3 linked regions of the Caenorhabditis elegans genome follow. The protein of the gene in region 3 purifies or fractionates together with the protein of the main gene of each other region. This does not show direct contact. Each region holds a gene or a part of one and is shown on either strand. Other genes may lie near its edges. The genes, in order: Y22D7AL.10, gst-7 and aldo-2.

Region 1 (10,335 bases), 4.3 Mb from region 3:
TGTTCGGTAGAGCGCGCTTGCATTGAAACTGGAGGAAAAATCGATATTTTCTCGCGAATTTTGATTGAAATTTGTGTTTTTCCCCGAAAAAACATGAAACTTTTAACTTTTACTCATTTTCAAAAAGAAAATTTCAAAAAAAATTTAAAAAAAAAACAATTTTTTTTTGGAATTTTTTTTTCAAAATTTTGAAAATTCCCAAAGACCCCCACCGATCACATATTCCCTGAGCACGTTCAAAAACTGCTTCAACATCATCCATAATTCCTTCCAGCTGTGCAATTCGAGCAATTTGCAGAAGCCCATTAAGCTTCTCCAACGGCGTCAAAACCCCCAAATCCACGTATTTCTTCCACAAAACGTGGGCGGAGCCTGTGTCTTTTTGGTGCTCATAAATGATGGCAAGAAGCCGGAATGCGTTGGCTTTGTGCACAGAAATTTCAGCCGGAAATTCTGAGTTTTTAGAATTTTCCTGATTTTTCGCAGTTTTCAGTACGAATTTCGCGATTTTCAGCGCAGTTTCCAGATTTCCGGCGATTATTTGTGTTTGGCACAGCAGACAGTAACAGTGGAGCATCTGAAATATTGATTTTTGCTAGAAAAATTAAGAAAAATCGATAAACCCGGCGGAAATTTTGAATTTCGCGGGCTTTTGTCTTTGGCGGCAAGAGGCATGTGCGCTCCATTGATAATCAGTTGAAATTTGCAAATTTTTAACGTATATTGAGAGTTAATAATTCATAATTGTCCCAAAAATTATAAAATTCTGAAAAAAACACCGAAAAATCGATAATTCTCGGAAATCGATTTCTAGCTGTCGGAGCAAGTGCGCTCCACTGATAAAATAGTAATTTTTGCCAATTTTGAATAGTTTTTTGAAATTAAAGTGGATTTTTTAGAAAAATCAATAATTTCCAAATAAAAAATCCAAAAAATCGATAAAATTCAAATTTTCCCAATTTTCGCGCCAAAAAGACCCACCAAATCCAAACTTTCGACATTTTCTCGAATGATTTGATTCAAAAATTCAATTGATGAATTCAAATCCTCCAATTCCAGCATACACTTGTTAATTGTATCGATTAACTCGAAATTTTGATTTTTCGGGTTTCTCGACAGCGGAATTAGCGTCCGCAGAGCCATTTTTTGATCTCCTTGGAGATGATGGGCTTTTCCTATGAGCTGACAGATTTCTACGTGAAATTCTGAGGTTTCAGGTGGAATTTTGAAGTTTAGGACCGTGAAAATCTGCTCCGGGGCGCCGGTTTTCAGGTAGAGGCCACAAAGTTTCAGGATTTCCGGCATATTCTGAAAAAAAATATTGATTTTCGTGAAAGTTCGTTATCAAATTCGAGTTCTCCGTCATTTTTTACACCGGGAAAGTTTTTTTTTGAGCTTCTCACTCCAATTTTGAAAATTTCGGGGTACTGTACTTTCGAAAGTACGCAAACACCAAATAGCTGACGACAAAATGCAGAATTTCTCAAATTTTTGCAAAAACCATGTGCCTAGGGGTAAAATAAGGTGCTGAATCCGAATTTGTTGGTTAAAATTTATAAAACTGAAGTTGAAAAGTCAAAAAGTGAGTTTTTATGAATTTATTGTCAGGAAAATTGTCTTAAAATTTAGTTTTTCGGATTTTCATGTAGAAATTTGAATTCCTCGTTAAATTTTGCCCCGGCAGCTTTTTTTGTGACTTTTCAGTGCAAATATTTAACATTTCGGGGTACTGTACCTTCGAAAGTGCGCAAACACCGCAGTGTTTACGACAAAATGCAGAATTTTTCAAAATTTTCCCGAAAAAAAGCTAGACAGGGGTAAAATGACCGCCTGAATACGAATTTCGTAATAAAAATTCTCGAAAATTGAACTTTTCCCACAAAAATTTTAATTTTCATGATTTTTCTGAATATTATAGTAAAACTCACCCCATTTCTCGATAAAATCCTTCTCTGTTCAATTGCCACTTGAAAATTCTCACAGAGCTCCGCAATAGTTGCCAGGTTCTCTCGAATTATTGAAATTGATGGGGTGTCTGAAAGTTTAACATTTTTCAGTTTGAAAATTGCAGAAAAATGGTGTAAAAGTCAATTTTTATTAAATTTCAGTTAAAAATTCGGCTTCAGAATCGTTAATTTACCCCTAAATCGCTTTTTCCGCAAAATTTTGAGAAATTCTGCATTTTGTCGTAAGGTGTTCGGTGTTTGCGTACTTTCGGAGCTACAGTATCCCAGAAATTTTCAAAACTGTTCTAGAAACCCGGAAAAAATTTATCCAGGTGTAAAAACTGAGAAAAATACAAATTTCTACACTAAAATCGGAAAAAAAGAGTTTTAGCATAATTTTCCTGTAATAAAGTCCCAAAATCTCATTTTTTGAACTTTCAACTTCAGTTTTAAGAATTGTCACTAATGAATTCGGATTCAGCACCCCATTTTACCCCTAGGCATATGGTTTTTGCAAAAATTTGAGAAATTCTGCATTTTGTCGTAAAATGTTCGGTGTTTGCGTACTTTCGGAGCTACAGTACCCCATAAATGTTCAAAATTGAGCTAGAAACCCGGGAAAAAATTATCTAGGTGTAAAAAAGACGTAGAATCCGAATTTCTTATTGAAAAATTGAAAAAATTTCAAAATCACCCATTTTCATCGCAATTTCCAGTTGTTTTTGGGTGAAAAACAGCGCGTCCTCGTATTTTTGAATGGAGCAATAGGCGGATGCAAGTGCTCCAAATGCTGATTCCTGGAGCTTCACTGATTCCAGATTCAGGTCCAACGACCATTTTAAGACTTGAATTGCTTCTGAAAATAAAATCGATAAGTCATCGATTTTTGCGGAAAACGTTAAAAATTGATTTTTTTAAAATTTTGTTAATGAAAGATAATTTCCCTATAGGGGCGATAACATTAGTTATCGATTTATTGATTTTCGGAGAAAAATATCGATTTTCTTTAAATTTTGCAGGCGAAAACACTTTTCCATTGAAAAATCGATAATCATCGAATGTGTTGCAAACCTGCCGACCGCGGCCGGCGGCGGGAAAAATGGTTAGTGCCGACGGTCGCAAAAATGGTTAGCGCCGGCGGCGACCAAAATAGTACGCTCCGCCGGCGGTAAAAATAGTTCGCGCCCGCAGCGGGCGGCCAAAATGATTATCGCCGGCGGTGGCCAAAATGGTTATCGCCGACGGCGGTAAAATTGGCTAGCGCAGGCAGGCGGCGCGATTCAGTGTACGCCGCCGCCGGCGCATAAGCTTGCTCCAACTTTCTCTAAAAATCAATAAAATCACCTTCAACTTCTACCGAATTATTGATTTTTTGCTTCTCCATCTCTAAGAGCATAGTTTGTCCCAGCGTAGACAAAATCGTTGGCACATGTTCATCCAGTTCCAAAACCTTCAGATTTTCCCACGGAAACATCGGAAAGTGATCGAAAATCGATAATTTCAAACTTTTCAGCAACTGAAACCCGGCAGGATCCAGCCGAATTCCGTTACAATACGAATATATTGATTTTTTCAAAAATCCGAGAGCCCGCTGAGCCTCTCCCTGCCGGTAATAGGCTTTTGCCCATTGTGGACACAATTTCACTGAAATTTCAGCATGTTTCAGAGCTTCCGGGGGCAGTTGAATTTTGAGAAGAATCGCCGACAGATTTGCGTGTAGGATTCCGTTTTTCGGGTGGTCTCGCAACGCTTTTTCGTAGAGTTCTCGTGCTTCTTGGTACCGCCCGTCTGAGTAGGCGGAGCCCGCCTCGTGAACCACTTTCTCCAAGTTTTCGTTCATAAAAGCGCTGAAAAAATGGGAATTTTGAAAATTTTTGTTTGAAAAAACCGGTTTTTTCAGAAATTCATAAGAGTTAGCATAAGCCTAAGCCTGGGCCTAAGCCTAACCCGAAGCCTAAATAAAAACCGACATTTTCGTGGCGAGACCAAAAATTTTCAAATTTGCTGAAAAATAGCCAATATGGGTGTCAAATTGAAGCTTATGAAGTGGAAAAATTAAAAATTTTAGTTTAAAACATTTATCGCCAAGCTCTCCGCCCACTCGACAATATTTAAAAGTATGAAAAAAAAACTTTGAAAAATTTTTTTTTTTTTATTTTTCGGAAAATTTCAAAAATAGCCAATATAGGTGTCAAATTGAAGCTGATGAGGAAGTAAATTCAAAAAATGTTTAATTTAAAATGTTTAACGTTTAATTTTTTAGGCCAGACTGCAAAAAAAAAATCCCCTTAAAAAATTCTATTAGAAAAACGAAAAATCGATACAAAACTGATGAGAAAACTAAAGACGAACACAACATTCGAAATAGGAAAATGAAGCAATTATATAAAAGAGAATTGACATCAGCGCCTTCATTCCCGAAATCGGTGAGCGAAAGTTGATGCGACCTTGGGGGGTCTTGCGGGATTTATGGGGGTTTACGGCAGTCTGGGAGAATTAACAGCTTTTATGTGTTACAAAGTATTACGCATTATCACTAATTATCAGAGTTTTCAGTAAGGATAAAAAAAAATATTTAAAAAAAAATTTTTTTCAAAAAATAAATAATCGATTTGTTTTCGCAAATTCATAATAACTGATATTGATTTTTTTCAGAAATAAACTTCAATCTTTGCAGAAATCAATAAATAATCGATGTTTTTTTATTAGAAATCGAATTTCTCAGTAATAAAAAAAAATAAAAAAATTAACTTTCAGATTTTTAATATTTTTTTTAAAAATATAATTTGATTTTATTTGCTCCAGACAACCTTTTCCTTGAAAAATTCTTGAAAAAGAAAATGAGGGGTTTTGAAAATTTTTTGAAATTTTTTGAAATTTTGAAAAAAAAAATTTCAAAAAAAATTTTTTTCAAATAATTTTTTTCCAAAAAACTTATTTTTCAAAATTTTTGAAAATTTCCGGCAAATCGACAATTTGCCGGAATTGAAAATTTCCGGCAAATCAGCAAATTGCCGGAATTGAAAATTTCCGGCAAATCGGCAAATTGCCGGAATTGAAAATTTCCTCTAAAATCGGCAAACCGGCGATTTGCCGGAATTGAAAATTTCCGGAAAATCGGCAAACTGGCGGAATTGAAAAATTCTGGCAAATATGCAAATGGGCAAATTGCCGGAATTGAAAATTTCCTCTAAAATCGGCAAACCGGCGATTTGCCGGAATTGAAAATTTCCGGAAAATCGGCAAACTGGCGGAATTGAAAAATTCTGGCAAATATGCAAATCGGCAAATTGCCGGAATTGAAAATTTCCTCTAAAATCGGCAAACCGGCGATTTGCCGGAATTGAAAATTTCCGGCAAATCGGCAAACTGGCGGAATTGAAAAATTCTGGCAAATATGCAAATCGGCAAATTGCCGGAATTGAAAATTTCCTCTAAAATCGGCAAACCGGCGATTTGCCGGAATTGAAAATTTCCGGCAAATCGACAATTTGCCGGAATTGAAAATTTCCGGAAAATCGGCAAACTGGCGGAATTGAAAAATTCTGGCAAATATGCAAATGGGCAAATTGCCGGAATTGAAATTTTCCTCTAAAATCGGCAAACCGGCGATTTGCCGGAATTGAAAATTTCCGGCAAATCGGCAATTTGAGCTTGTAATAGGCTTTGGATATAGTCCAGAGAGGTCAAGCTTTCCAGAAGAAATCAAGCCGATGGCAGTGGGATAGCTGAAAATTTCCAATAATTGGCCACCTTGGAACTAGGAATGTTGGCGCCAAGCTGTCCCATTACGGTTTGATCTACAAAAAATGCGGGAATTTTTCGCCCAGAAAAATGTGAATCTGCGTCTCAACTCCCGCATTTTTTACTGCAAACTCAAAATAATGGTTACCAAGGTGAAATTTATCGATAAATTTGAATTTCTACATGAAAATCAGCAACATTAATTCTTGCGCTGAGAACTCACAAAAAAGGTTTTATGGGTGAAATTTAACGAGGATTTCGAACTTTGACATAAAAATCAGCAAAAATGAATTTTAATTCAGTTTTCCTGAGGATAAAGCATAAAAACTCATTTTTTGACTTTTCAACTTCAGTTTCAAGACTTTTAACTAACAAATTCAGATTCAGCACCCCATTTTACCCCTAGGCACATGGTTTTTACAAAAAAGTGAGAAATTCTGCATTTTGTCGTAAAAACTGCGGTGTTTGCGTACTTTTGAAGCTACCGTACCCCAAAATGTTCAATATTTGCACTGCAAACTCACAAAAAGGTTTTTCTAGGGTGAAATGTCACGAAGATTTCAAATTTTTACATGAAAATCTGCAAAAATGAATTTTAATACAATTTTCCTGACGATAAAGTCATAAAAACTCATTTTTTGACATTTCAACTTTAGTTTTATGAATTTTAACTAACAAATTCAGATTCAGCACCTCATTTTACCCATAGGCATGTGATTTTTACAAAAAATTGAGAAATTCTGCATTTTGTCGTAAGCACTGCGGTGTTTGCGTTCTTTTGAAGCTACCGTACCCCAAAAAAAATGTTTTTTTTTGTTGAAAATTGGAAGGAAAATCCTCAGTTTGCGTTCCAATTCGAATTACCGCCAAGAGTTCAAGATGTTCGATGGAGCGCGCTTGCATCATTTTAGTTTATTTTTGGATCTTTTTGACGGGAAATTCAATTTCCAAAAAACCGAAAAAAAATCAGTAAAATAATGCAAGCGCGCTCCATCGAACAAATTAAATTGGCGGCAATTCAAAATTTTTCAAAAAATTGCAGAAAAGCGCTAAAAATATTTAAAAACGGTTAAAAAATAGCTCAGAGCTTGAAAAGGTTCGACCACTGCCGTGTCTTTTAAGTACGCCGTTTGTTTTTTCCGGTTCTCCAAGCCACATTGAGCTTTTCTCGGTTCGCCCTGTCACATCGAAAACATTGTCTGTGGCCAGAGAACAAGAAAAATCTGAAAAATCATTATTTAAAATCGAAAAAAAAGAAAAACAATACCGGCGAAAAATCAAGGAAAAAAGGAACTATAACAATCGATTTTTTCAACAAAAAAGAGGAATTTCCTAAAATCTAAACTCAAAAAATTGAAATTAAAAAATTAAATAAACAGAGAGAGAGAGAGAGGGGAATAATTGAATGAAGATTTGTGAGACCGAAAGCCATATGGAAGATAATTTAATGGAAGACTCCGAGAAGATCAGACTCGCGGAAGATTGAGTATTCCTTGTCCTCGACGACGACCTGAAATTGGGGAAAAATTGTTGGGATTTCCTGCGAAAATCGGTCGAAAAAATATGTTTTTGCGCAATTTTCGCGGTCTGTAAGCAAAAAATTAATTAATTTTCAGGTATTTTGTCAAAATTTTGGCCTAAAACTATATTTCACTGGAAAAAACTGACATTTTACCGCCTGAAATTCAGTTTTTTTGGCGTAAAAATCATATTTTAACCTAGTTTTTCCTTAAAAAACGAAGGAAATTTGGGATTTTTTCAAAGAAAATGCTAGATTTCCGGTGAAAATCGGCACTTTTTGTGGATTTTCAGCGAAAATAAACTGATTTTCAGGTTTTTTCCTAATAATTTAGAGCGAAAAACCCATGAAATTCAGTTTTTTGGCGTAAAAATCGTACTTTAATTCAGTTTTTCTCGAAATTCGTTCATAAAAATGAATTTTTACAGAGAAAATGCTAGATTTCCGGTGAAAATCGGCAAATTTTGTGCAATTTTCGTTGGGTTTTAGCGTAAATGTACTATATTAAAGGTATTTCCCCAATAATTTAGAGCGAAAAGCGCGTGATATTCAGTTTTTGGGGGAAAAATCGTATTTTAATACAATTTTTCCTGATTTTTCTGAAAAAATCTTGGATTTCGGCTGAAAAAACACAATTTTTGTGCAATTTTCGTTGATTTCAATGACTTTTCAGTAATATAACGCTACTTTTACACTGAAATGTTAAAAAAAATCCCGATTTTCGTCCAAATTGTGTGAAATTTCAACGGAAATTCAGATTTTCACATTAAAAATTCGCCAATTAATCCATATTTTCGCTCGAAATTCGTCGCATTTTGTACCTTGGTGCCTCCGTATTCTGGGAGAAGGACACGATCTCCTGGCTTCACAGTCAATGCGACGAGCTCTCCCTTCTCGTTGCGAAGTCCGGCTCCGGCAGAGACGACGGTGGCTTCAAGGACCTGAAATATTCGAAAATTAGGTGGAAATTGCTTTAATTTGAGTGAAAATTCGGTAATTTCGGATAAAAATTGGACAAAAACCTCCGCGAGCAGTCGGAGAGCGTGTTGGCAGGGAAAATCGATAATTGCATCATTACACCAGACTTTACGGAATTTTCGGTGAAAATTAACATTTTTCGTATAAAATTGAAGGTTTTTAGCTAGAAACTGTGTTTTAGACGCCAAGTTGCACCATTTTGACGGTGAAATTGGCATTTTTGTGCTAGAAATCTGCTCCAAGACGTTGAAATTTATCAGTTTTCACCTGAAAAATCAATTTTTAGGCCAAAAATTGCTCACTTTTCCCTGTGACTTCTCCGGGAGCATGATTCCTCCCTTTGTCTTGGTCTCGGCGGCGACTCTCTCGACGAGCACACGATCATAGAGTGGCTTGAAGGTCTTGAGGACATTGCTCTGCAAAAAAATACGCGTTTAATTCGGAGAAAACACCGGGAAAATAGCTTACCGATCGGCGGACAGCGGTGAGGAACATTTTTCGGCTGAAAAATTGGTTTTTTGAGTTTTAAAATTTATTTTTAGCGGGAAATTACATGAAAACAACGAAAAAACCCGAAGAAACCCGCGAAAATTCAGAAAATGATCAAAAAACCAAAAGAAGCTTCGAGAAAAAAAGCAGAAAATAAATGTGCGGCGCGAAAAATCTCGTGCGGCAAACTTGCAAATCTAGGCGTGTCGGGCCAATGGCAGACACCGCGCCGCAAATTCAGCCAATCAGCGCGCTCAGCTCCACCTAGAAAAGTGTGCGCACCTTGCAAAACTGGGCGGAGCGAGTGAAATGATGCAAAAGTCTATTCTGATGTAAATTAGCCATTTTACATCAAAATTTGCGTCATTTTCGTTATTTTTCTCTCATTTTTCATATTTTGAACGAAAAATTGAGGTTTTTTGCTTCTATTTTCATCAGAAACCATTGAAAAATGCTTATTTTTGGGCCATTTTTCGTCGAAATTAGGGGAAAAAACTATTCTACAGTTTTCCCAGCTATTTTCTCATTTATTCCTGTATTTTTCAGTCATTACCTGCTTCCCAGACGATAATGCAAGGCTTCTCGCTTCATTTTCATAAAAAACGATTGAAAAATGCTTATTTATAGGCCATTTATCGTCTAAATTAGGGGAAATATCTGTTTTACCGTTTTCCCAGCCGATTTCTCATCCATTCTCGTTATTTTTCACTCCTTTTCTGCTTCTCAGACGATAATGCAAGGCTTCTCGCTTCATTTTCGATGAGAAACTCTGATTTTGCTCGCATTTTCGCCTTTCCGCTGCAGATTTTCACACAATTTTCGTAGTTTTTCAGACACAAAAGATGCTTCGCCTCGCCAGAAAGGGACTTCAGACCGCCGTCGTCAGATCTTACGCCAAGGACGTCAAGTTCGGAGCCGAAGGACGACAGGCCATGCTCGTCGGAGTCAACCTGCTCGCCGACGCCGTCTCTGTCACTATGGGCCCAAAAGTACGGGGATTTTGATGTGAAAATTGAGGAAAAAATGCTGTAAAAAAATCTATTTTAACGTATTTTTATACACAAAACTTCCGGTTTAATGCAAAATTTAATTTTTTTTTCTTCATAAATACAGCCTCTAAAACTCCAAACTCTTTCAGGGAAGAAACGTGATCATCGAGCAGTCGTGGGGAAGCCCAAAGATCACAAAGGACGGAGTCACCGTCGCGAAATCCATCGACCTCAAGGACAAATACCAGAACCTGGGAGCCAAGCTCATTCAAGATGTCGCCAACAAGGCTAATGAGGAGGCTGGAGACGGAACCACCTGCGCCACAGTTCTCGCCAGAGCCATCGCCAAAGAGGGATTCGAGAGCATTCGTCAAGGCGGAAACGCTGTCGAGATCCGTCGTGGAGTCATGAACGCCGTCGAAGTCGTCGTTGCAGAGCTCAAGAAGATCTCCAAGAAGGTTAATACCGGGAAATTGTGGATTTAAATTCAAAAGCCACAGTGATTTTTGGAAAAATTGGGATTTTTGACCCAATTTTGAAGCGATTTTCATTTGATGTTAGAGGAAAAACTAGAATTTCGCTCAAATCTGCTTGAAAATCGCGAATTTGTGGCTAAAATCAGTTGCCAGGAATTCAAAATCTTCAAAAAACCGTCATTTTTTCCCAATTC
Region 2 (10,017 bases), on a different chromosome or scaffold from region 3:
CAAATAAGTGTAAACCTCTTTCAGAACAAGTTAAATCTTACCAGAAAGCATATGAGACGAAAGTTTTTTTACAAACCTGTGACAAACTTTAATTGAACCAAAATCATGTAGAATCTGGCCAGACTTCCAAAAATATATAAAGTCGTGAAGAGCAAAAATAGATATTGTAAATTCAAATGTACAATTTGGAAACTTTTCACAAAATAATTGAAATAAACCATTAGAAACATTCCAACACAAATCAAAATACTTTCAGATGCATAAATAAACTGTAGTGTTGGCGTCAATGGAGCATTTATATCCACTAAAATTGGCACATCAAATGTGATATTGAGCCATTGGCCCTCCACCAATGGAATTGGCTCAGCAAGTAGTGAGAGAATTTTGGCAAGAAATTCCTGGATAATGTGCATTTTATCTTTAACTCAAAATAAGGAAAATGTTTTCTAAAAATAAGGAGTAGTAAGAGTAAGCATGAAATTATATATGCAGGTGGAGTAATTGATCGGGTTCAGAAAACGCTTTTAGATTATAAAGTTTGATGTGAATATCTATAGAAACGAATGATCACTTGTAATCGAATTTTAAAGAATGTTCGCCAAAACAGCGGTGACATGGAGGCGTGAGTTATGAAAAAAAAACTCAGAGAACAGGAAGTGTTAGCACATTAGTTGCAGTGTTGGTCAATACAAATAGAACATATAAAATCAAAATGTATTCATTAGAATATCAGTAATTTTTTAACTTTGAAAACCTTTTTTATTCGTTAAAATTCAAGATGCCCTAGTATTTTTTTACTAAGTGTTGCACAGATACTTTTAAATATTTGAATAGTTAACTTCAGAAAAATGGGGTTACCAAAAGAAACGGAAAAGACAGCTCTAGGCTAATAGGTTTTCTCTATATAGTTATATTCAAACAGTGTACGTTGAAAATTTTGAAGGAATACCATTTTGTTTAAAACCTTAAAAAACAGACATAAAATATTCATTACATTTTGATACGGGTTTATTCATTGCATTACAGAAGGAGTATCATCAATGAGGGAAATTTCTTAAAAATGTAGCTTGTCGCGAATACGATGGAGAAGAATCTCCAACGATCACGACTTTCATAATTAGAGTCACCAAGTGTACTGTTAGTTTAACTTATATAAAATACCACTGAACGCAATGCGAAACATAGCTCAAATGCTGAAACTTACCAAAAATAGGTAAACGGAAAAAAATCCGTTAACACTGTAAATTGTGCCACCAAACGAAAGTGACTCAAAGATTTCAAATGAAAGTGGTAACAACTTTAATAATTTTAAAGGGACAGTTTTAAAACGTGATTCTCTAAAACCAGGTCTGTCATTTATTTATCATTCCCACTCAAAACAGGTGAAAATGAACAACTACACTAGAAAGAAAAACGTAAAACTTTGTGATCTCAAAAGCAAATCGGCAATTATTTCAGAGTCGCGAGAAATACACGTACTAGGCTAACCCCACAATTTGTCATGTTACTTATTTTTTGTTCGGTTAATTCAATCAATTGTCCCTGCCATGGAGTATGTCCTTTCACAGCTCAACGAACAAATTTTGATTTGCAAGTGAAACTTGGGCTCGATGTGTCGGAATATGTTTCAAAAAATGTGATATTAATTTAATTGATTATATAAAGCAGCTGCAAAATTGGTATTTTTTCCTAGAATAATTTTCGAGGAATGTGTACCGACTATTGAACAGAACACATTTTGTTCAACTTGTGCAAAAATTAGAAATTTGCTAGCTTTTCATTTTTGAAAGCCTTTCAGGAACGTACTAATTGACAACGAAAAACTTTTTCACTTTAGTGTGCAAAACAGAATTGATCCCTTTTCAGAATAAATCGACAGAGATAAGGTAAACAGTTCAAAAACAATTCTGAACGATCATTGACATAACTACAAAAAGGTTTGATCGAAAGTTAATAATCATTTCCCACGCTTGAGTCTTGTCATATCTAAATTTAATTCTCCCTTCTGCCGCAATTTTACATTACTCAGTTTTCCAAAAAACCAAATGATTACTCAACTAAAATTCAATCAATTTTTGTCTATGAATTATATTTTCATTGTAGTTTATTCAATTTCAAAACTAGAATTGAACGATTATTTAGAATTGAGTCTCTGGACGAGTTTCCAACCACTTCTTGATATTGGCATTTGAATGAACCTTCTCCTGATGCGCCTTAAATTGTGGGAATTCTTCGAGAAGAGCTGGATCAGTACTCAATATATCCGCAGTGTGCTGAGCAATGAGCAAATCCACAAACGTCAGCGAGTCTCCAACCAAGTAACCGGATCCTGCAGTTTTAAGGAAATTATAAATGAATCCGTAGTGCTTCTTGAATCCTGGAAGAAAGACATCCTTGGAAAGAGCATCAAGATCTCCTTCAGCAAATCCCATCTTCACCATCACATATGGACGAACTTCGTTGCGATAATCTTTGAACTGATCAGCGATCGAGTTGACTTGAGCCTCCTCCCATGCACACTTTCCATTGATTCCGAATTGACGAGCCAAAAAGCGAGCGATAGAATGAGATTGTGGAAGAACCTTTCCATCGACCTCTAGAAGTGGAAGTTGCCCGAATGGGGTGGCTGAAAGTCATTGTTAAGCTGCTTGAACTTCAGAAACTTCAAAAATTACAAATAGAATGTTTGAGGAAAAACTATGTTTCTCGTCTCTTTTATATGTTTTTTTGATGAAGCCAATGACAACTAAAAAAACATCTGATCAATTGAATTGAACTTATTGTTAAATAGCTTAAACTCACTTGGTTTGACAGCTGCCCATTCCTCTATTGAAATTCTATGATCCTCAAAGCTTTGTCCAGCATATACAAATATCTGTCGAATAACCTCTCCAGCTCCACGGATGGGGAAATATGATAGCTTGTAGTGGACCATTATTACTACCACTTTTCAAGTAATTGGGGAGTACAAGTCTGTGATACAGTTTGAAATAAAAACCAAGAAGTTTCTATTTATACTCATATTCTCTAAGTGTGTGTGTACTGTTAAGTCATCACTGCTTTGATCGCACTCTGCTGACAACAAACCACAAATATAGTTTGGCGTTATGTCTGTTTCAATGAACTGGTTGAATTAGATAAATGTACATTAAAATAAAGAGTATATTGGAAACTTTAAAGTTTGTCATCATTTACTCTTCCCACTGCGCAGATGTTACTGACAACTCAGTTCAAAAAGTGCCTTTTCATGATGATTCGGATGTCTGAACAAATATATCGGTTGCTTCTGCTATCTTATTTTTTAGAGAACTTTTCAGAATAAATAGATTTCAATGCAATCATTTATCCCATATCAATACAAAAATACATAAAGAGACCATGTGAATTTGGAAATCATTTAGAATGGAGTAACTGGACGAGTCTCCAACCACTTCTTGATGTTGGCATTCGAGTGAACCTTTTCCTGATGAGCCTTGAATTGTGGGAATTCATCGAGAAGAGCTGCGTTGGCAGCCAGAAGATCAGCAGTGTGCTGAGCGACGAGCAAGTCGACAAAGGTCAAAGAGTCTCCAACCAAGTATCCGGATCCAGCCGACTTGAGGAAGTTAGCAAAGAATCCATAGTGCTTCTTGAATCCTGGAAGGAAGACGTCCTTGGCAAGAGCATCGAGATCTCCTTCAGCAAATCCCATCTTCACCATGAAGTATGGACGAACTTCGTTGAGGTAATCCTTGAATTGATCAGCAACCGAGTTGACTTGAGCCTCCTCCCATGCACACTTTCCATTGATTCCGAACTGACGAGCCAAGTAACGGGCGATAGCATGAGATTGGGCAAGAACCTTTCCGTCAACTTCAAGGAGTGGAAGCTGTCCGAATGGAGTGCCTGAAAAATAATATAATTAAAACCTAAAGTTCAAAGTTTTCTTTGAGTAAACAATCATTGACTCCAAACTTCTATCTCTCAGTCATACCAAGCACTTTGTTTACATCTCTAGGTGTCAAACTGCCTAGAGTTTAGCCTTGAATTTTTTTTTCCTTTTTCAAGGTCTATTCATTCGAACACCGAAATTTCAATAACTTTCAAAAAGTAACTCAATAACAACTTCAATCTACTCTAAAGGCAAAAAGGCAATTTGTGTGACCTAGTTAATAGGAACAGGAAAGGTAAGGAATATACCGTACCTGCTACTTTAACGGCTTACATCTCGGTTCTCTTAACTTTTATCAAAAAATGTTTAACTGACAATATTTAAAAGTATATTCTTCACGTATTTTGTCAGTCAAAATTTTTTTGATAAAACCAAAGACAGCTTAACTAAAAGCCTGCAACTATTTCTAAAATGAATTTTTAATTTGGAACTACTTATAAGATTTCAACTAACAATTTCAATATCTATGCACCTATTCAAACAATAATTTTCAATCCCAAACTCACTTGGCTTGACAGCTGGCCATTCCTCCTTTGGGATTCTGTTGTCCTCGAAGTCTTGTCCAGCGTAGGCCAAGATCTGACGAGCAATCTCTCCAGCTCCACGAATTGGGAAGTACGATACCTTGTAGTGGACCATTGTTGAAATAACCAAGCAAGAAATCGAGTGGTCGATGAGAAGGGTTGAACACTGAATGCCGGCCGTCTCTATTTATACCCATTTCTCAAATGTCTGTCGTCTCTCCACTCACCATATTCTGTAGTTTGTCATCATTTGCTCTACACATTGCGCGCACGTTGTTGACTAGAAATCATAAAGTGTAGTCATCGTTTTTTGTTGTTGCAATGTTACGATGAACAGAGTAGGTCAAAATAATATTGGTTGAAAAAAATATATGCAAGGTTTTGTGACTTTTCCAGATCTTTCGAAGGGAATGTTGTGTCACAATTTGTGACTACTCACAAATATAAACCCATGGCATCAATCATCTTGTTACGCTTGCCATTATTATTGAAGATACCATGATAAGAAACTACTATAACTGACACAAAAAGTCACAAAAAATATTTTTTTTTGTTTCTGAAATTTTTCCGACAGTACAACACAATTTCATAATCTCGCGCAAAAGAGGCGTAGGCATTTACCGCAGCCTACGTGCCTGCCTACAGCCTAATTTCTGGGAAGGTGCCTGATGAACAATGATTTCCTATGGAATTTGTCTTTGAAATAATTTAAGTCTCACTTTGAAACACAAACGTGCTTTCTTTTGAGGGTTATACACCTGCCTTTGAAAAGACTATCCTCCAAAAATAAATAAAAGATTACATATTTATTGTGCCCACCGAAATTTGAAAATTCTTATTATGTTCATGTTCCAGAAAACGACGCTTTTGTAATTTTTGACAATAAAAGTCAAATTAACATTATGACGTGATTGGTTTTGTGCTTTGAACATTGTGTCTCACCAGGGAATGTTCGGAAAGTTTTAGCTATGATGGTAAACCACAAAGGAAGGCGGTGTAGGTCTGATTTGTACCTAAAAGCATGCCTACTTCCCAGGCTTTTGTAAATATCCTGTATATTTCAACACTCTTGCAATGCAAAAAGCTTCTATAGAAACATCCTGCTGAAAACTTTACCATAAAATTTTTAAAAGAACAATTCATTCAAGATATTTTAGAAACATCGATTTCCATTAAAACAAATTAGCAAAAAATTGCTTCTTGAAATATGAATTAAAAAATAATACAAAATTGCAAACTCATTTCAATTTAGAATGGGTAATCTGGACGGTTTGCAATATACTTCTGAATTCTGTCGATGCTCTGAACCTTCTTACGATGTGCCAAAACCTTCTTGAACTCCTCAACAACTGCCAAATCTTTATCCAAAATATCTTGAACGTGCTGCGAAATCAAAAGATCCACCCATGTCAAAGAGTTTCCAACAAAGAAACCACTGTGATTAGATGCCAGAATGTTCTCGAAAAACTCGAAATTCTTTTTGAAAGCTGGAACAAAAACATCAGTTCTCAGTTGATCCTTGTCTCCAGGTTTGAATCCAGCAAGAACTGTTAAATATGGGGAGACATCGTTGAGATAATCCTTGAATTGATCAGCAATTGCATCCACTTCTGCCGCCTCGGTGTCATTTTGTCCAGCAATTCCGAACTCTCTGGCCAAGTACCGAGCAATTGCATATGACTGTCCCAATGGTTTTCCATCGACTTCCAAAATTGGCAATTGACCGAATGGAGTGTCTAGAAATTTGAAATTTGAGGAGAAGTGTTTTAAAATAAAATCTAATCTTAATTTTAAAAAAGTATGAAGGTCTTAGAAAATTTTTCGGATTAGTTCGATCTCCAGGAGCGACTTTTCCACAGTGTCCAAGATGTTGTCAGAAAGCACAATTCCATAAAAAGTTTCAAGCATCAAGTTTTCCTCGTACCTACAACCTTTTTTCTGAACTTCTGACTGATCACCCTAAATCAGGAAATAAAAAAAACAATCAGAAGCATAATCCCAATTTGCAAAGTGATTTTTTTAAAGTATTGAATCATGGAATACTGTTCTAGTTCGGATGTGAAAAGTTAGAGAACTTTTGTTTGCAATTATCTACAATTTAAAAAATAAACAAATACCGAAATGTATGAAACGTAGTTTTCAAGTTTTGAAACCATTTATCTTTGCCAAAAGTGTATAAACTCACTATTTTTGCGTGCTGGCCATTGTTCAAAGCTCAGATTCTCCTCGGAATAATCCTGTCCTGCATAGGCAAAGATTTGTCGAGCAATTTCAGCACGGGCTCTTAATGGGAAGTAGACGAGCTTGTAGTGAACCATTTCGTGAAATTTTTTCCTACAAAATGAATGTGAATTATCATCAAATACTGGGTTATTCTTATCATTTTTTGTGTGCTCTACTATCATTATTTACTTTTCAATATATGACTGAAGATATTTGATGACAAAACCAAAACTTGAGAGCACAGCGTTTTTCGGATCACTTTCAAGATTGACTATAGTATGATCAACCGTGATTTCAGAAATCAAAAAGGCTTTGAGAGGATAATTAATTTTAAAGCTTTATGGGGAATATACAGTCTGTTACTTCTTGATATCATGTCAATTCTTGATAATTTCTTTTTTGGAAAGACCTGAAATTAAGAAAAAAACACATAATTGCTTACTTATTAAAATAGATTTAGGAACATTTATAGGATGCGTACAATTTCGCCGATTAAAATTGAAATTCTGAAATTTTGGTAATTTCTGATTTCCGGCAAAATGCCGGTTTACCGTTATTGCCGGTTTCCCGTTTTTTTGCCGTAAAAAAACATTTGCCGCTCACACCTGAAGTGCCTTAGAGTTGCATTTCTTTTCCTATACTTTCATATTTTCAAAGTTCCAATCTTGGTATACATCACACTCAACGGACCAAATAACTTCCTAAAATCGCTAAACTGAGCATCTTCAAACTGGCGTATCTCGAAAAATACAAGTCTGAAAAACAATTTTTAACTAACAAAATGATCAGAAACATTTGTTCTTTCTATTACATTAATTTGTATATCAACAACTTTTTGTAGAGTTACACAGAGTCAAAGCCATTTTTCCAAAATTCAAAGAAAAATTTGAGAACTCTTTTGTTGTACCCTTTATAACTCAATATTCATTGAATTTCAAAAGATAAATTTTGTTAAGTAGTAAGTGAAAAATATTTCTCCACATTTTATCCGTTTTAAGTTTTTCGATATTTTCATGTTCCGCCAAGTTATAGACCGTTTTCTGAAAAAATCCAATCTCCGTCATAAAAATCTTCATATCCAACGTATCGACTTGAAATTTTGAAAAATGATCATTTTTTTGAGGTTTCTACAATGTCCTAGAAAATCTTTCAAAAATGTGGGCTCATCTCCAAAATCGTCCTCCGCTCCAAAATAAGAAATGGGACTTTTGCTTTTCGAAAAATGAGCGGAAAAATGAAATTGCGATTTTTGGGTCGAAAAAAATATTTTTAGAAAGCTGAGAACACGCTATTTACGAATTTCATGTTCATTTTAAGTGATTTCTTCTCTGAAACGACCTAAAAATTCTCTGTGCAACTCTGCAAATAATTAGTTTTTTGCAGTGAAAAGTAATGCAAATAAAAGTAAAAATATTTTGAATCATTTTGTTAGTTAGCAATTTTTGCTCAAGACTTGTATTTTTCCAGATACGGCAGCTTGAAGTTACGCAATTTAGTGGGTTTAGAAAATTAAGTTGACCACCGAGGCTTCCACTTTTGCTGGCAAGTTTATCCGTTTTGCAATTCAATTTTTTCAAATCTGCGATATTAGTAGAATTTTTGATTAATTGTTATTATCGTGAATATAGCAAAAAAGTGAACATTCACATTTTTGTGAAACTATTTTTTTGGAAATTTACTCTTGCTGGTATGACTATACCTTGTTTTCAGATATCATTAACTTTTTATTCTCATTCCATTTCTGTCTCACTCATTTTCATTTTCAATCCTTTTCTCTCTTTTTCCATCACTTTTTCGTTTTTCATCGTCGGACGGACGAGAGACCTCACCAAGTACCACACCACAACAGGCAGCAGTTTATTAGCAAGTTTCTCACGTCTCTCGTTTTCAGGAAACGTTGGAAAATGGAAGAATGATGAAAGAAGAAGATGAAGAAAGCCCTGTCATTGGTTATGGTTCTTTTTTGAGAAAACGGTTATTTGCGGCTTGATTGATATCGCTTTTCATTGGCAGAATGAAAAATGAGGAGAATTTTTGAATAATTAATGGGAAGTTAGTGTCAATTTTTACAGTTGTGCCCACTTGAAATATAACATATTTTTTAGTATCTATCCTGTTTTTATATCGACAAAGAATTTAGGCTAGTTTTTGTAAAAACCCATATTGAAAATTTTAAACAAAACACCTACTCGTTGGGTTAGTTAGTTAGCCTTGATATATAGTTTAAGCTTGTCTTGAATTCTCCGAAAAATTACAAGCTGGCACTACTTTTGGCAATTTTTGGCAACCTTTCAGGTTTGTGTACAGATATTTCTGAAATATCTAGACACTTAACGAATGTTGTAATTGAACATTACACGTATTCGGATCTGCAAAAGACAACATTTTGATTGTTAAAAATTATGATTTCAGTTTCTAGCAAGTTGGAATAGAGATACTATTTACTAGAAATGTTTAAAATAGTAAGGAACTAGTACTGACTTCTTGATCTTCCGGAATCTGTAACTTTTTTCAACGCCCGATTTCTGCGAATGTGGAAATTTTTATCTGAAAATTTAGAAGCTCCAGTTGTTCGCTAAAGTTTATTATGGAGGTACAAAATTTCAAAAAAGGGTCCGATTGAGCTATTGTCTGAATTGCCTGGAATATTTCCAAGTTTTTCTTGTCATAAAAATTATGTTTTAGAAAAAATGCCAATTGAATAAAAAATGCAAAAATAAATATACTTCAATCTAAAGTTCGTCAACTATTTTATAGCGAGATCAATCTAGACCGAAATACGTACGAGCACCGCCTTATGCGAAACCGCAAAGTTTCAAAGGGGAGAAGAGCCGGAACTTGTAGAAAATCATTCCAATGGTTCTAAAATAAACAATTAATTTTCTATTTGCAGTGATAAAGTCTAGATTACTCAATGTCACCACTCATAAGTTTGGAAGCCTATTAAAAAAACTAGTTTTTCTACGAGTTGTACATATACTCTAATTTTTTTCGAATTACTTGGATTAGTAAACTGTAGGTGTTAAAGCATGTAAAATTGCTTTAAATTTTTCAGTGAGCACAAAGTGTTGGTTAATTGATTTATTAACCAAAACTGTGACTAAAAACTTTCCAAAACTTTAACTGGAAATTTTCAAGAATCTAAAACGTATGTATTTTATTATGCCATTTCGTTCTTCTGTATTTTTTGAGTTTTAAACATAATCCCTATTAAACTAGTTCCGGCAGCTCGAAACGTTTGTGTCTTCTGTAGAATCTTTAGAATCTCTAGAATCTTATCTCAAGCTTGCACTTGTTCCTTAAAATTTCTCACGTACCTAAGAAAGCAACTCTATCAAT
Region 3 (10,335 bases):
AGTATCCCCTCCAGCTACCTTCCAAGCATTCTTGACTTTTTGCGGAGTTTGTTGTTTCTGCAGTTTCTTAGCCGCCTTTCTCGCTGCCTTTTCAGCCTTTTTCTGAGCCTTTGTCTTTTTCTGAATGGAATTAGTCACATTTAGTAATTTTAAAGATCTATTATAAGTATGAATTTCAGCAGAACTACTCAAGTTTCCGTGCCCAAATACACCACCCAGTTCCCTATCTAATTTTATCGAAACCTGATTCATAGAAGAAAAGTGCATTTTCTCAAGGGGATCGCTATTGTCAGAATCAGAAGATGCCCCATCACTATCCCGACGAGCCCGTTTCATTTGTCCTCCACCACCAGCGGCACCGCTGTTAGACATTTCATCACTACGCCGTCGCGATGGCGACTTTTTTCTATTAAATCCATTAGCCTGATGTGGAAGCTTATTAGCTGGCGTCCACGCTGGAGCTAGCTCATAATTTTTCTCGTGGGGCAACGGTTCATTGTCCCAGTTGACCATGTGAGCATTGCCTGCGTTCAACATAGGGAAAAGTCTCTTCTGAAGGTATTCTTGAGTTTTTTGACGATCTTCGACAGTGTTCGCCGCCTCGAAAGCACGTTCCATGTACCGTCTGAAAAAATAGAATGTTGAATAATTTTGCAACAATAAAAACAAAGATGATAATTAATTGAAAACTTACTGGGCTGATGGAGGTGGTGGCTTGGCTGGTCCTGGAGCTGGAACACCGCGTCCTCTACCAACTCCCATCAATGGCTGTGGACCTCCGCCCTGCGGTACGAACGTGCTAGTTAGATGCGGAAATGCGGACGAATTATTCTTTCTGTTCAAGGCAAATGGCTGAAACTGCTGAGGTCTCTGTTGCTGATTCCAGTTGTTGGCTCCTCCGCCACGCCCTCTTCCGTACCCGTTATTCCAATTCTGTGGTGGTGGTGGTGGTGCATAATTAAAAGATGCTTGGTTATAAGCTGCTTGAGCAGTTGCATTCACCGCCGACTGTTGTGGTGGTGGTGGTGGGACAATCGGTCCGCTGCCCCACGTGGATGGATGAAAACCACCACCGAATTGACCGTAAGCGGATGGGGGATTTGGGAACGAAAACGAGTTGTTCATCCAAGAGTTCTGACCTGTATTGTTGTTACCATTCGATGCATTCAGTCCTTTCGACATTCCACCTTGAATCTGAAATATTACAAATTGAAACAACTGTTCATATGAAATATTTACAAACCTTCATTAATGCTTCATTCGCTTTTTTCCAAGCTTCGGAATTTGCTCCTGTCTCCATTGGCACTGGAATTGACATAACTTCTTCTCTGTAAAGAAAAAGAAGAACTGAAGGAGATTAGGAAAAATCAATAATATTCGACAAAAAAAGTTCACGTCGAAAAGTTAATTCCAAATTAGCATTTATTTAGTACTTTAGTTTGAAAAAATGGTGCTGCCTACTTTTTTAAATAGCAACTATTTAATTTTTAGTTATTTTTGTGCGAAACATATCGACTTCGAACATCACATTCAGAATTAAAAAAGAAAATAACGAACCCCATATCTGAAATAGAACAGACAGAAATAACTATTTAGCAGAAAATTTTCAATTTTGCGTACAACGTTAAAAGAGTAAAATCAATAAAGTTTAACGGACCAGCGTTTTCGTAGTTTACTGGCAACTAAACAGAGCGCGTATCGATTTTCAACGGAGCGTCGTTGCACTATTATATTCTCTGGCAAAAATAAAATGTAAAGTGAAAGAATAATTCATGAATTAACGAGTTTTTGGAAATAATATTTTTAGAATGAAGAAATGGTAAGAATATGAGATAATATATAGTGACTCGAACACTTGACAATAATAACTATAAAAAGTATAAAAACCAGAAGAAATGGATTGTATTTGATTCTACAAACAAGGAAACAATTAACTATGAAAAACAAGAAAGAATTCTACTTTTGCTCATTTGTCTTCTTCCAATCCCGAAACTCTTCAATTTTCCGTTGCTGCGATGTCATTCCAGTAGCTCGAGCTGCCGATCGTTCCGCAATGTACTCGTCAGTCATTTTTGCTCGGAAGGCTGGATCGTGGAATCTTAATATGTTCTTGTTATTTTGAGATACATTAAAATAACCAGACTTTTCATATTTGCATCGATTAAAGAGTTCTAGAGCTGGTTTACACGTGTTCAAGCCAGAAACAGCACCGTCGGTTCGAAAGCAAGTGATGAGTCCTGAAATTGTTGTAGAAATAGAACTCTATATAATCGTGCTTTTATTTTTATGATTTCAATAATTCACAAACCTAAATAAGATTCGTTGCAATCCACTCTTTCGATTTGGGTATTCATTCTATTCGGAATAATCACATCTGCCTCGATTTTCCTCAAAGTCCGATCTTCTGGATCACCTGAAAACAAATATTGTATTTAAATGGTAAAAACCGCAAGCTGATTTAAAAATTACCTAATCCATGTGGTCCTCCAGCTGAATAATGTGGCATAATATTTTTCTTGACACGATATTTCTTCCCGGTCTTCTCGTCTGTCACAATTTCGCCTTCCTTTAAGGTTTCCAGGTTATCAGTGATATTCACTTTATTTTCCGTCATTCTAGCTGTAAATTTGAAAATTTATAAATGGAAATTTCAAGAGAAATCATGAGATTTACTAGTTTTAAAAGTTAAAATGATAGCGCCCGAGAAACAAAAAAAAAAGATCTTTGCCGTCTCTTATCTCTCACGCGTAGCAATGGAGCGCGACTCTAACACTGCAAAAAGTGAAATTTTCTACAGTAACCCTGCCATCTGGCGACATCTGAAAGATGGAAAAGGAGAAGGAATGTCGAAATCTGAAAAGAGAAACAAACATGGGTGTAGAAATTTCACTTATTCAGTAAGAACTGAGTTTCATAGAAAATGATTGTCATGGTTTTGTTTAATATCTTCGTTTTCGTCAATTTCTCATATTCGTTGGCTAATTTAAATGATTCTAGCATTTTATATTCTCAAGTTGTCTCTAATAAGTGTGCATCTAATAATGGTATATTCTGTGAATGTTCGAAACAAGGCGGAGAAATTAAGGTTCTACATTCAAAAAGATAAAAACCAATTCAATAAAATTTTGATGCAGATTTGGAATTGCATCCGTCCAGGAGGTTGGTCAACGTGGTCAAAATGGTCGAAATGTAGAGAAGGTATCCGAAAAAGAAGACGAACGTGTAATAATCCTTTACCAATTGGTACCACTTGTTCTGGCCAGAAAGTTGAGAAGCAATCTTGTGCAATTTCTTCAAATGTACCGGAGTATCTTTTTGGATCCTGGACATCCTGGAATCCATGGTCTCGATGCGATTGTGATCGTAGCCTGAGGATACGGTAGGTTCAAACAATTGGGAAATGTACAGTAACCCAAGTTTCAGAACTCGGCACTGCAAAGGTAATTCCTGCGAGGGATGTGACAAGGATTACGAAGATTGCCGCCCAGATGAGTGTCCAATTAGTAAAAAATGGTCCGAATGGACAGATTGGGTGAATTATGGTATGGGTCTCATTACGCTGAAATATATCAACAAATTTGTAATGATTTAATTTCAGGAATTGAGCAAGTACGGTTTTCAGCCTGGTGTTCGTCATCAAACGTGGCGAATACTGAAGTGGGAATACGGAAGGAGACTCAAGACTCAATGAAGCATGGTATTAATTTTAGTTAAAAAATTTCGAAGAACCATAACTTGAAGACTAAATTTGAAAGTTTCAAAGTACAATGTCCACTTTACTGTCTAAATTTTTGTGTTAGTTAACAACATGATAAAAAATTAATGAGAATAATTTCCAGCCAACTGGTCTGAATGGCATATGCATCCAGGAGTTGCATACCGTTATCGTCTTCTTCACAACTCTTCTATTTCCATCGAACACCATCTCTTATCAAGATTCACGTCATCATGTCTTCCCTTGCATTTTGCAATTCCAATATTTTGTTTTTGTATTCTCACGGGTTTCCTTCTTCAAAATATTATTTATTGTGTTGTGAATCGTTTTAAAAGGAGATTCATAAGATTGAATTATTCGTATGATTCAAATCCACGTGACTATCCTTCTCATTTGATTCGTTCTCCGGGTTCCCCGAAAGATGAAAGTTTTTGGTGAATTTCGGATGCTTTCGAGAACAGTCTCTGTCTGCCCATTTCTCACGCCACGATAATAAAAGTTATCATTGATCTGTACAACGAATACTCTGAGTGAGGTGTTTTTAATTCTTATCACTTCAACTCTTCAGTTTTAAGACTGAAATTCTAAAGAAAAAACATCAGAATTAATTATACTTTTAAAGAGAGGCGTACTTTCGCAAATGGGTCTCGCAGCGCAAGCCAACGACTAACAACGACAATACCGCACATTTAAATTCAATTTTAGGATTCATTTTTTCATTTCCAAATTTTTCGGTTTTTTCTATAAGAAAACAGCCGAAAACTTAAGAAAATAATTCCTGCACAATTGTGAAAAATTGTTTTTAAAAAATTGTGCACAATTTTATTAATTAAAAAAAAATTTTTGTGTAGTTTTTTTAAGGGATTTATCTACTTTATCTATAGATTAATTTGCCGAATTGACATACTCTTTAAAAATAGGCCTCAAAACTTTCTATCTCGGAATTTTTCGATCATCCTAAAGTAGTACAAGAATATCACGTTTCAGTTCTCTGCGCGCCAACAATATTTGGCGCCGCCCGTTCGCCGTCTCCCGTTTTTGCGCACACTCTCGGCGACTGTACTGATTCTCTACACTCTCCGCCTCCCCATTTTCTCGACCGTCCATTTCATTTCGCATCACTTCTATTTTTCACGATGGCAACTGTCGGAGGCGCTTTCAAGGACTCTCTTACCCAGGTTTGTTGATCATTCATCATTTTGTAATGCCCTTCTTAGTTTAATTGTTGTATTTCTAGGCTCAAAAAGACGAGCTTCACCAAATCGCTCTCAAAATTGTTCAAGATGGAAAGGGAATCCTCGCCGCCGATGAATCCACTGGTGAGCTATTGGAAAAATTCTTCTAGAACTAGAAAATCGAGATTCTTATCTTCTCACAATCATCTTTTGACAATTTTTCTATTCAATAAGAATTAGCGACTTATGTTCAGAAGTTCAAAAAATAAATTTTCACGGTCTAGCGATCATATTCTGTGCCCTCTATCGCCTCCAATTTTCGATGTTTATGTTGTTGAAATTGGAGATGTTGATGCATTGATAGTGCGAGTGATAGATAAAATTGTAGATAGAAAGAAAGATAACATGTAGAAATGATATTGGGGAAGACCGATTTCTTCTTTTTTATAATGCAGCACATCGTGACCCGATCAATTTGCAGGCACAATCGGAAAGCGTCTTGATGCCATCAACCTCGAAAACAACGAGACAAATCGTCAGAAGTATCGTCAACTCCTGTTCACTACTCCAAATCTCAACCAGCACATCTCCGGAGTGATTCTCTACGAGGAGACATTCCATCAAAGCACCGATAAGGGAGAGAAGTTCACCGATCTTCTCATCAAGCAAGGAATCGTCCCAGGAATCAAGCTCGATCTCGGAGTTGTCCCATTGGCTGGAACCATTGGAGAGGGAACCACCCAGGGGCTCGACAAGCTTGCCGAACGTGCCGCTGCTTTCAAGAAGGGAGGATGTGGATTCGCCAAATGGCGTTGTGTTCTCAACATCGGAACTCACACCCCATCTCACCTCGGAATGCTCGAGAACGCCAATGTGCTAGCCAGATACGCTTCTATCTGCCAGGCCAACGGACTTGTTCCAATTGTCGAGCCAGAGGTTCTCTGCGACGGAGAACATGATTTGGCTCGTGCCCAGAAGGTTACTGAGCAAGTTCTTGCCTTTGTGTACAAGGCTCTTGCTGATCATCACGTGTATCTCGAAGGAACTCTTCTCAAGCCAAACATGGTTACTCCAGGACAATCGAGCGCGTCGAAAGCTTCACACGAGGCAATTGGATTGGCTACCGTAACCGCCTTGAGACGCGGAGTTCCAGCTGCAGTTCCAGGAATCACTTTCCTGTCTGGAGGGCAATCCGAACTTGATGCCACTGCTAACCTCAATGCTATTAACTCGGTAAATTTAAACGAAATGGAATAACCTTATATCACTCATTTCTATTTACAGGTTCAACTCGGAAAGCCATGGAAGCTCACCTTCTCTTATGGACGTGCTCTTCAAGCTTCTGTGCTCAAGGCATGGGGCGGAAAAGACGAGAACATCGCTGCCGCTCAGAAGACACTCCTTCACCGTTCCAAGGCCAATGGAGATGCATCTCTCGGAAAGTACGCCGGAGAAGACGCAGCTGGAGCCGCCGCCGAGTCTCTCTTCGTTGCCAAGCATTCCTATTAAGCGATGACGCATAACTTCCTGTGAATAGATTTTTCGCAACCTCGTCCCCAAGATTGTATAATTTCACTGACCCCGAAATGAAGTTTTATTTCACCGAAATTTTATATTTTATGAAACCCGAAAACTAAAAATCACCAAAAGTGGGAATATTAAGGATCTACTTCAATATATTCAAACAATGCTCTCTTTGCTTCCGAACTCTTGCTTGCTGATATCATTCTTCCGAAGTGGTGTCTGATCAACAATCGATAGCTTCCCTTCTGCACTCAAAGTGAGAAGACATTCAGGAATATTCAGCTCACTCCATCCAAATGCCCAAAGATCATACACCTAAAATCAAATAATCAATTGATCATTCTCTGATCTTCCTCACATGAATGAATATTTGACGGACATGTTTAGTGACAATTGGATCTTCACTGATAAGTTTATGACGCAATTTTACAATGATTCGTTCGACGAGATATGAATTCAAATCGTGAAGAACGCGACCATTCTCGCTGAGAAGTATCCCGGCTGTCTGAAATTAAAAAATTCTAGATTTTTCAGAAAAATGTTTCTGTGGAAACCTCTAGATCTTCGGTATCTGGAGCATCATCAATAAGTGCATCCAAAGATGAGAACATTGGTTTTATGAAGCATTTTGACACACATTCGTCCATTTTCACATATACTGGATACATTCTGAACGGATATTTCAATATGAATTCATCGAATTTCAACTACTAATTTTACTGTTGGAAAATTCCAGTTCTCGCGTTTTTTTTCTATATTCTTTGCAAGCAAATACTTACGATTCATGTGAGAAAAATAAGGTCCCTGGTTTCGCCACGACAAGCTTATGTTAACTAAAAAGAGGTGTGCGCCTTTAAAGAGTACTGTAGTTTCAAAATCTTAAATAGTTTTCCTCACGATTTGTTAAAATGTATTTATGTATTTCTATTTTTTTTATTTTGAGTTTTTAATAAATACACATATTTTTTTCGGGAAACTATGAAAAATCAATAAAAATTCATCAGAGCTCTGCAGTGTTGAGTTTTTGAAACTAAAGTACTCTTTAAAGGCACACACCCTTTCTCATTCAACAATACCTCAACATGATATATCATATGATATCAAAATTGCGTGTCTGACTACAAGAAACATTCGAAAATTGGAATAAAACGATAGTTTCTTTCGAAAAAAAAAATTGGAAATTGCTTACGAAAAAAGTGTCTTCACACAATTCCTGAACATAAGTCGAGAATCGTTTCGAACTGAAAGCCGGTTACGGTAGTCGTTGAGTAGTAGAGCCAACACATTTGAGGATAATGAAATGTCTTTTGGATCGGACTGGAATTTTAATTTGTGGTTTTTGAGGTTACCGTAGTACAGAACTACCTTATGGATGTGCATTAGTATATTTGCAGCAACTGGTCCAAAGCGTCCATCCGAAAGCCATCGGAGCCTCATGTGTTCGGCGAGAACTTCTGTAGAATGTTGACCAGCAAGCATACTGTAGGCTTGCACTGAAACTCGAATTTTTAAAATTGTGGGTCCCGCGACGATCCACATCACTTTTCACTAAATAACGGGATCAAGGCGTGAGCAGGCACATTTGCCTGATTCTACATACAAAGAACGATTTCGAATTTTCTTAAATAGCTCACCTGGAATTGGTCCTTGTTGTGTGAGAGTTGCAAGAGATGCAAATAGGCTCCGTAGTTTATCATCGTTCATTTCGTGATTATTGATTTAAAAAAAATGTCTGAAAATTTTCAATTTCTGAAATTTCCGATTAACTTAATAATTCTCAAATATTGCCGAGTTAGCCAATTTTTTTTAATTGACGATCAGGGTTCTAGAGCAAGCGAAATATTTCAGCTACAGTACCCGCGAGTACTGTAGAATTTCATTCTTCTTACAGAAAGTTGTTTCCTATTTGACAGTTTTCATATTTCCTGATATATAATAAGACTTCTCAGTAATTTAAGTTTTTCTAACAAGTTTTCAAAAAATTGTGGGAACTGGTTGAATACTTACAGATACTGTATACTAAAATTTTTAGCTCGTGTCAGGACCCAAAAAACTAATTTTTTCTACTAAAAATTGTACAAAATAACCGGGTCAAATCGAAAGACGAATGGCTCGAGCTGAATGACGCAAGAGATTTGAAAATGAGGTGAAAAGTGTCACCAGAGACAATTGGGTGCTTCATGCTCAACTTTCAAGATTTTTTATCTCTTTCGAAAATGCATGATGGCAAAGTTCAGAAGGCAGAGCAAGCAGCATCACACACTCAAAAAATGAAAAACAGAGGAAAAGTGACGGCTGTTTCGAATTACACAACACATGTGGCGAACAGAGAGCTCTGGAGAGCATAGAAGAGGCTCAAAACACATGAACATAGCAATATAATAGACAATTAAAATATTGGAATTTTCATGAATTATATACATATGTATTTTTCAGATGGGTCTCGGCGCGCAAAAGTTTATGGTAGACTTTTTAGAATTTTCACGTCTGCTTTTTTGTTCATTTGCCTTGCGTTTTTCAATGATATTAATTGTTTTTTAGCGAATCATGTCATATTCTTTTCATTTTTCTATCCTAGAGTTTGTAAATATGTTGTTTTATAAAAACACCAACGCTGTTTTCGGTTCATGCATACTTGCATAGGACAAAAATTGCTTGATTGTTTATAAACATAATTATTTTTATTAGCTTTCTCGTGTGGAAATGTGAAACTTCAAGAAAATTCTATTTTGCGGCTGGAAAGGGAGGAAAATTTTTGTGCGGCAAATTAAATTCAAATTTAGCGCGCAAAAAGGTGTTGGACTTTTCTCGGCCGTGCACTCCTCTCGGACAACGTTTCTCTGGTCTCTCTCGGTTTGTCTCTATTCTCTATTTTCCTTTTATTATTTTTTTTCAAGAAATTTACCACAAAAATATGAATAACTCAAATAGAAGTAAGTTTAAAAATAATAATTTTATTCAAAAATTAAAAAATGTTCTTTATAGTAATTCCGTTTGCTTTCAAAAGCTCTGAACACGGCTCATACGAAGATGAGATGATGGAAATGGAAGACGTAGTCGATGTAGAGGACTATATGGGCGGAGAAAAATATGATTCTTATAATGATGCAAAAGAAGATATTAAAGATTTTAAGACGACTCAAAGAATGAAAAAAATCCATCGAATGGGTAAAAAAATTATCAATAAAATATTAAAAGTTCAATTATTGTTTCAGAAAAAATTGAGCAAAACATTGCCTCAGAGAAAATCGATATAATCGAGCTTGGAACACGTGTGATGGTGTCGACATCGGATAAAACGCTCAATGAAGCTTCATTGGAGAGAACCATCCGTTGCGGAATATCTGAAGCCACATTTCTCGGAGATATTTCTATGGAATCGCTGGTAGAAGGTATGGTGAATCCATCGGCGGCTGATGGAAGGTTTGCAATGCTTGGAACGTCTATTATGGTCAGAATTCTGATAGCCCGGAATTCAAAATTCCATTTTTTGATTTTTCAGCTAAATGCGCTAAAGTCAAACATTAAAGACCTGAGAGGAACAATTGTAGGACAGACGACCAACACAAATTCAGAGTCAAAATTCGATAAAATCGATTTAAGTCTAATGAATCTCTCGCATTGCCAACAAACTTCTTACAATATTCGAGCAACAGGTGTATTCTCTGTGAGTTTTTTTTTGTTTCAGCTTCTATGAAAAAATGCCAAATTTTAGAATGCCGATCTTCAATATGTGTTCAGTTTGCTGACGTTCCGCAGAAACGCAAAACTTCTCAACAAAACCAAGCAGTTTATAAAAGCATATTTTTGTGTTGCGTGCCGTCCGAGATGCATGATCTGGAGATATACTTTAAGAAGAGCTGGAAATAGTCAAAGAAGAGCCATTCTTAACTTACCATCCGCCATTGTTTCAACTATTAC

Evidence for each region.
Region 1: the proteins of aldo-2 (region 3) and Y22D7AL.10 fractionate together in Caenorhabditis elegans (co-fractionation; one large-scale study listed by BioGRID). This does not show direct contact.
Region 2: the proteins of aldo-2 (region 3) and gst-7 fractionate together in Caenorhabditis elegans (co-fractionation; one large-scale study listed by BioGRID). This does not show direct contact.

Annotation. Positions count from the first base shown.
Region 1 is NC_003281.10:1,610,241-1,620,575, forward strand, and holds Y22D7AL.10 (10 kDa heat shock protein, mitochondrial), read right to left. Parts: upstream 8,690-10,335; 5' UTR 8,683-8,689; coding exon 8,656-8,682; intron 8,604-8,655; coding exon 8,490-8,603; intron 8,151-8,489; coding exon 8,031-8,150; intron 7,201-8,030; coding exon 7,135-7,200; 3' UTR 6,911-7,134; downstream 1-6,910. Other genes in the region: Y22D7AL.9 (Tetratricopeptide repeat protein 7B), read right to left, coding at 213-577, 982-1,308, 1,929-2,035, 2,641-2,802, 3,291-3,786; hsp-60 (Chaperonin homolog Hsp-60, mitochondrial), read left to right, coding at 9,519-9,665, 9,815-10,123.
Region 2 is NC_003280.10:4,876,672-4,886,688, reverse strand, and holds gst-7 (putative glutathione S-transferase 7), read right to left. Parts: upstream 4,598-10,017; 5' UTR 4,571-4,597; coding exon 4,438-4,570; intron 3,886-4,437; coding exon 3,398-3,885; 3' UTR 3,331-3,397; downstream 1-3,330. Other genes in the region: R05F9.7 (Serpentine Receptor, class E (Epsilon)), read right to left, coding at 77-413; gst-8 (putative glutathione S-transferase 8), read right to left, coding at 2,139-2,626, 2,803-2,935; gst-6 (putative glutathione S-transferase 6), read right to left, coding at 5,704-6,191, 6,641-6,773.
Region 3 is NC_003281.10:5,870,838-5,881,172, reverse strand, and holds aldo-2 (Fructose-bisphosphate aldolase 2), read left to right. Parts: upstream 1-4,702; 5' UTR 4,703-4,851; coding exon 4,852-4,893; intron 4,894-4,952; coding exon 4,953-5,034; intron 5,035-5,371; coding exon 5,372-6,123; intron 6,124-6,174; coding exon 6,175-6,399; 3' UTR 6,400-6,495; downstream 6,496-10,335. Other genes in the region: hpo-10 (SAC3/GANP/THP3 conserved domain-containing protein), read right to left, coding at 1-120, 244-625, 695-1,194, 1,244-1,328, 1,558-1,562; F01F1.2 (COX assembly mitochondrial protein), read right to left, coding at 1,957-2,098, 2,144-2,237, 2,309-2,413, 2,470-2,614; mig-21 (Abnormal cell migration protein 21), read left to right, coding at 2,921-3,085, 3,135-3,379, 3,424-3,542, 3,599-3,697, 3,840-4,153; F01F1.3 (MIF4G domain-containing protein), read right to left, coding at 6,571-6,729, 6,773-6,919, 6,969-7,083, 7,604-7,731, 7,780-7,907, 8,049-8,118; F01F1.11 (PAP-associated domain-containing protein), read left to right, coding at 9,329-9,347, 9,400-9,582, 9,630-9,865, 9,917-10,081, 10,130-10,335.